Linked DNA regions of Canis lupus familiaris. The protein of the gene in region 1 purifies or fractionates together with the protein of each later gene. This does not show direct contact. Links are inferred from orthologs where the notes say so. Each region holds a gene or a part of one and is shown in the gene's direction. Other genes may lie near its edges. The genes, in order: SWSAP1 and SPIDR.

Region 1 (3,803 bases):
GTGCATTTGGAGTGTTGCAAGTTGAGGTGAAACATGGGTTGTGCATCTCTTGGTGGGGGGATTGAGGTGGTGTGTTTCACAAGAAATGTAACAGTGTGCTTTGTGTATGTGTGTATCGAAAGAGTTGCAGGCACATTAGCTGAAAGGAAGTGTGTGTGTGTGTGTGTGTGTGTGTAATAGCAATTGTTTGGTTGTATCAGAGTGTGTCCTAATCTGTGTGCAAGGGAAAGGATGTGGGGATGTAAATGTGGGAGGAAGTGGATATGGGATGCTTTGTGTCAAGGTAGGATAGGGCTGTCAGCATGTGGGTGATGGGGGTTCTGAAAGTAGAATATATGCAGAGATGCCATGGTGTGTGTGTGTGTGCGCGCGCGTGCACACAAGCACGCGTGCATGTGTGTAGAGGGCTGTGGAGGTGCCTGGCTGTGTGGGTGGGTGTATTGGGGGATGTTGTAGATCTGTTTTCTGGCCCCAGAGGGAGAGAGAAAGCCCAGGAAATATCAGTTCCGCCGCCCCTGGGTCTCCTGGCAACAGCACCACTTTGAAGTTACCAGGAGACAGAGTTGCCAAAGCAACCGGGCTGAGTGGCAGCTCTAGGGCGAAGTCTGGGTGAGGAGACCTAGCCAGCCATCACTTAACCACTCATCTTGTTCCTCCTCCTTTCCCAGTTTCTCATCAGTCCTACTTCCTTTCTTCATTCATTCGTTTAACAAGCATATATTGAAAATTTACAACGATCTAGTCGCTGTTCTGGGCGATGGAAACACTTAAGTGAACAAGACAAGATCTCTGCCTTGGCTGTCCCTCAATCTCCCACCCTGTGTGACTGTCTACCTGCACTTTCTTTGGTTGATGGTCATGCCCGACCCCCTTGCCCCAGGTAAAACCCAAGCAGCTCCCAGGCCAAAGAGAAAGCCAGCTGAGACTCCTCTTCTCACAGACCCTCAGAGGTGGCTGCTGCTGTTTTGCACGAGGATGTTCCTGAGCCTGCAGCCTCCAACACAAGCTTGTGCCAATACTAAGGTGCAGAAAAGGAAGCACACAAGCTCCTCCATTATTCACCTTCCCAATTGTCATTAGGTGACATCAGCAGAAACACACACAGACCCATTCATCACAATATTCCTCTGAGATGTCAGGAGCTCCATTTCACAGATGAGCAGACTGAGCCTAGGAGACTTTAAGTAATGTGTTACTGATTAGGGCCTGTTTCCTTCAACTCCCAACACTTATATTTGTTTGATTAGCTGACTAGTTCACAATAATGATAGTCGTGCTGCCTCCCTCGGCCGACTTGCGCAAGGGAAGGGTCTTTTCTCCCTCAAATGCCAACATTCCTCCTCCCTCGGACTGTTATTTGCCCCTTCACGAGGGGAGAAGCTAGTCCAGGCCAATCTAACTTTGATGGCAGATCCATGAGCCAATGGAGAAGCTAAGTGCATTGTAACCAATGAGACCCCGGGTTGGGCGGGACTAAGGGCGGGGGCGGGCCGTTGATCGGACAGAGGCACGTTGCGAATGGCGGAGACGCTGAGGCGGGTGCTAAACCAGGGCAGCTCGGCAGAGTCCGGGGAGGAGTACACAGCGGAGGCCGGGCCGCCTTTACTGCTGCTCGGCGGCCCAGGCTCCGGAAAGACCGCGCTGCTATTCGCGGCGGCCCTGGAAGCGGCAGGAGAGGGCCGAGGCCCCGTCCTCTTCCTGACCCGGAGGCCTCTCCAAAGCCTGCCTCGCGGGACCGGAGCGGCGCTCGACCCCCTGCGGCTACAGGTAACCGAGGGGTGGGACCGGAGGCGGCCTAGTTCGCACCTGAGCGGATCAAGGCTTGAGTGACAGTCAGACAGACCAATGGAAGGGACGACGGGAGAGCGAGGCGGGGCGGCCATTGTGGGGCGGAGTCAGGAAGGAGCCGGGACGGGAGGGCGGGGGCGGGACCAGAGCAGGCGTTGTTGAGACTGGGAAACCATCAAAAAAAAAAAAAAAAAAAAAAAAAAATTAAAGCGGGACGCCTGGGTGGCTCAGCCGTTGAGCGTCTGCCTGTGGCTCGGGGGGTGATCCCGGAGTCGCGGGATCGGGTCCCGCATCGGGCTCCCCGCATGGAGCTTGCTTCTCCCTCTGCCTGTGTCTCTGCCTCTCTCGCTCTCTCTCTCATAAATAAATGGATAAAATATTTTTTAGAAAATTAAAAAAGGTCGGGAAAGCGTCCCAAAAAGGGGGACGGGATGAAGGGAAGAGTATTCCACCAATTCTGAGCTGCTTCACTCTGGAACCAGCTACCCGGGTGGGGTGTGAGCGCCGAGCACAGGAAATACAGGGAAGCGGGGCAGCTGGAGCTGGGAGCCTGGCTTCCTGAGCTGAACCTAGTGTTTTCTCTTTTAACTCACTTTAGAAGATACGCTTCCAGTACCCACCCTCAACCCATGAACTCCTTCAGCTTCTGTGCTCTGCCCATGAGGCCCTGGGCCCAGCCCCCTCCCTCCTGCTGCTGGATGGCCTGGAGGAGTACCTAGTGGAAGACTCTCAAGAAGCGGCCTACTTGGCTGCCCTGCTTCTAGACACAGCTGCCCACTTCAGCCACCGGACTGGGCCTGGCCAGGGCTGTGGGCTCATTGTGGCCCTCCAGATCCAGGAAGAGGAAGAGAGTGGGGATGGCCTGCAGCTGTCGCTGCTCCAGCGGTACTTCCCTGCCCAGTGCTGGCTGCAGGTGGATGCACCAGGCCCAGGACAGCGCGGCCTCCGAGCCTGCCTGGATTCAGGTGGGCTGAGCCCTAGAGCAGAGTGGTGGGTGGCTTTCCGACCAGATGGAGAGATGACAATCACCCCATGGCCTACCCAGTCTGGTAACCCCAACTCAGACAAAGGTTCAAGTTCTGGAGGCCAGCCTTGAGCTTTGATGTGTGACACCCTCTTTGTGCCTCAACTGCCCATGGCTGGAATACTTACTTCAGGGACTTGTACAGATTCAAAGACCTAAAGAACAGTGCTTTTTCTCTTGAAACAGAGCATTACCATGTACCTATCATGCCCAATCAACATATTGTTTTGCTGTTTTGAACTTTATAAAATGTTTCGTGATAAATGTAATCTTCTAAGACTTCTTCTCCCACTCAGCATTATTATTACGATTAGTTCAGGGGCACCTGGGTGGTTCAGTGGGTGAAGCATCTGACTTCAGGTCAGGTCATGATCTCTGGGTCCTGGGATCGAGCCCCAGGTCAGGCTTCTCACTTTTTCTTGCACACATGCCCTGGTTCGTGTGTATGAGGGGTTTTAGGGTATACACCTAGAAGTGGAATTGGGAGAGAAGTTCTGCATGTGTTCATCTTTCCTTGGTTATGTCAAACTTTTAAAAAGTGGTTAAACCAGAACTGCCAGTGAAGCCACCTGATGACATTGGTCCCATCAGAGTACTTTCTTAGAACAGGGCCTGATTCAGAATAAAGCCTTACAAATTATTGTTATTCGTAGTGGCAGAGACTAGCTAGAGGCTCATTCAACGACTTTCCTCTCCTGGGCTGTACTGCTAAACTGCATTTTTTCCCCTGCTGTCCATGGTTCTAGCTGGGGTCCTGTGACTATTTCTGGCCAGTGGCATTTGTAAAAAAGAAATAGATACTACTTCTTAGGCTAAGTCCCTAAAATGGCCCACCAAATCTTCTGCGATTTGTTTTGCTTATTGGTTGGCAAGATGCAGAGAATCCATTTAAGGTGGCCCCGGGGGATGGTGAAGTTATAGACCAAGAGAGTCTGGGCTGCTGACTCATCCCAGAGATGGCTGCCCACTTGTTTGCATTGAAATATGAGAG
Region 2 (3,063 bases), on another chromosome or scaffold:
CCACACACACCCAACGCAGTCTTTCCACACCTGTGGCCTACGGTCACGTTTGACATGAGGCTTGGAGGTGGAAGCTGCTGAAGAGCTGAAGGTGGTTTAGGTTGAACAGCAGCCCCCAGGCGTGGGCGCAGGGCTGCCTGCGTCCTGGGAGCTTCAGCTCCCGCCCCACTGTGATTGCAGCTGTCCCAGACCAGCATTGCTTCACTCCTGAGCTTGGCCGCCTGCGAAGATGGGGTAAGTCGAGCAAGTGCAGCCCAGGGGCGCGCCCCAGTGTTCCTCAGCCCCAGGTTGGTGGATCATCTCCAGGTACAGCCGCCTGTCCCGTGAACTTTCATTTACAACAAAGGGCATGATGCAGTCGCGTGTGGGCTAAGTGTCTAGTGTACACGGCACATGCACAAGTCCTCCTGCTGTCGTTCCCTGGCAGGTACCTGTGTCTCCTCGTGAGAGCCTTTCCTTTTTGGAATTGAGGCGACTTCCTGAACAGCCTTGCACAGATGCGTGAATCTACCCCCCTGGCTTTGATGGTCGGAAGGCCAGCAGCATCTCAAGGGCTACAGTCATGATTCATGTTAATAGAACACAAATATCTGAGACACACATTCTGTGTTTTTTAATTGCTGGGTATTCCAGAGTCTGAGTAACTGGAAACTTGACCATTATTTCTCAGAACTGTTTTGCCTGCCCTGAGAGTTACTATGGTGTGAGGCTTAGTAAACTGGTGTGCTCCTCCAAGAAAACCACCACCTAAATATATATGACTTACAGTCTAGAGACAGTTTCTTCCTTGTGAAATATGCCCCTCGTAAACAAGGGAGCTCTGTCCTTGAGGTGCCACCTCTGTCTTGTCAGAACCATTTAAAAGCACCACAAGTGGCCTGTGGAATCGCTGAACCCCAGAGAAGAGCCCTGGGGCTGACCACTGGGGTGTCGCCAGGGCATAGCCCCTGGGAGCCAGGATTAGGGTGCACATACCCAAGTAGACGACGTGGGCCAGCTGGGGAGGCTGTGGTGAAGTTGCAGAGCCTTCTGATGGGTCCCCCTAGCCGCATGGCAGTCAGAACGTGAGGCTGATGTCATGCATCCTCTGGAGGCACCGGGGGCTCCCGTCTCCCTGTCTGCCGGCCCTGCTCTTAGGAAGGTTGGCAGCAGGAGGAGGCGGAGCAGCCATTTGCACTCATTCCTCAAAACCATGGCTCTCAGAGTTGGGGTTAAATTGGAATGTGGATAAATCCGTGAAGATCACTGGTCTGACTATAGTTTCCAACCTTGATTTTAGGGTGGAGCTGCCTGTGGAGTTCTAAAAAGAGTTTCTGGCTCCCTCCCTGGGAGAAAGCCCAGCAGCCAGGGCATAGCTCCCTAGAGCCCTCGGTGACTCCCCGGCCCAGCACCAAACCTGTATCTGTGGGGCCAGTTCAGTGTAGGGGCTGGTGTTCAGATCAGGCCAGAGGAGGGTTTAGGAGCCAATATGCCCTGATGGTTCACAACTAAAATATAAGCAAATCACTATAATCATGGATGGAGAACTGTGCTCAGCTCTGTTGTCACATGTTACCCAGTGATGCTCAGTCCACATTGTCCCACCAGGAAGCCTGAGCGCAGCGCTCACAGTCACAGTCTTTGTCGGGCACAGCGTCATCCACAGGTGACCACCTAACAGTAGGGGAGGTGTGACGGAGGTCCCTGTTCTTCCTCGAGCTCGTGTGTCTACTGCCTGATGAGACAGTGGTGCCTGTTGACGGTCCCTTGTCACCTCATCTCTTAGCCTTCGAGGTGGGACAGGAAGAAGAAAGAAGGGCGTGACGCCGGGTAGGGCACGGCTCCTGGATTGGAGGGGGCTTTCAACAGGTGCTAAGGATGGCAGATCCCGGTGATCGGGGAAGGTATTTCCATGGAAAAGTTGGGGGATAGTATTGGGGAAAACTCCTGCTTAAGGGGAGCACTTAGCAAATGAACCAAGTCCACAACCTAAACAGAAGAAGCCCTTGGGATGGGTGTCGCCGCCTGTAGTCCCCGCAGCAGAGGCGCGTCCTCCGGTGGCCCCGGCTGGGCCCTCGCAGGCCCCCAGAAGAGCAGCCTGGTGCTTCCTCCGGCAAGCCTCCAGCCGTTCCCTGGCCTGGGGCCCGGAGACCAAGAGGGGCCACGCAGAGATCCCCCCTCCTCGCTTGGTTGCCCTCTGCCCGAGGCTGACTTGTACCTGCCTCACAGAACATTCTTACCTCCAGTCCGCGCATCCGCTGAGCCTACTTACAAAGGGCTCACGAGGGTGTGCGTGCAGGTGTATGTGTGAGTGCGGGCGGGTTTGCCCAAAGGTGTGACCGGTGTGTGCTGTGCGTGTCCATGAGCGGGCTGAGGGGCACAGGGGGCACGTTGTGGGGTGCTCCCCCACCGGAGCTGATGCCCGTTGAGTCAGGGTAGCTGCAGGCCTGGAGGTGCTGCGGCTCGTTCCCCGGTTTGTCACAGTGGGTGATCGGGGCCCCCACCGGGCCCGCAGGGAGCTGCTGGAACGTGGGTACGGGCGGCGTGAGCATGAGTGTTCCCCCCACGATGCGGACTGTTTCCGGGCTGAGAAAGCCCATTGGCCAAAAGCCAAGGACTCGCAGGAGGCTTCCCACGAGAACGGTGGCTCTGGGCCCCAGAACAGACGTACCGTCTCTGGGCAGGACGTCCAGGGGCTGAACTTCAGTGTGCTCACGCCGCAGATCAGAGAGCAGTGGGGTTTGCTGCTGTTGGAATGTCATTTCTTAACTGTCACGGACGGTGATAGGAAATTGGGAGTTTGTTTCCTTAGCTTTCGGGGAAGAAAAGGGATTGGCTATGATATGGTTATTATGAACTTTAGCCACAAAACCTGACGTGGTAAAAAAAAAAAATGACGTGTTGCTGACGTTTTCAAGTTAGAATTCTGTACTTTTACCCCGAGGGAGGGTGGGAGTGCCTGGGCCTTGTGCTCGGCCACACGCGGACATGAGGCTAGCTGCGGTGGTAGGAGGTGTCAGGGCACCCGCCGGCCACCTAGGCCCCCGGGCCTGGACGGTGACCCCGCTCTGCGTGGCCCGCGGG

The links.
Region 2: the proteins of SWSAP1 (region 1) and SPIDR purify together in Homo sapiens (co-immunoprecipitation; 3 studies listed by BioGRID and IntAct, with this or other methods). This does not show direct contact. The link is inferred for Canis lupus familiaris from reciprocal best matches to the Homo sapiens genes SWSAP1 and SPIDR.

Annotation. Positions count from the first base shown.
Region 1 is NC_049241.1:50,348,845-50,352,647, reverse strand, and holds SWSAP1 (ATPase SWSAP1), read left to right. Parts: upstream 1-1,472; 5' UTR 1,473-1,518; coding exon 1,519-1,767; intron 1,768-2,386; coding exon 2,387-2,884; 3' UTR 2,885-3,091; downstream 3,092-3,803. UniProt on the Homo sapiens protein: ATPase which is preferentially stimulated by single-stranded DNA and is involved in homologous recombination repair (HRR). Has a DNA-binding activity which is independent of its ATPase activity.
Region 2 is NC_049256.1:1,368,914-1,371,976, reverse strand, and holds part of SPIDR (DNA repair-scaffolding protein), read left to right. Parts: intron 1-180; coding exon 181-306; intron 307-427; coding exon of another isoform or gene 428-505; exon of another isoform or gene 506-772; intron 773-3,063. UniProt on the Homo sapiens protein: Plays a role in DNA double-strand break (DBS) repair via homologous recombination (HR).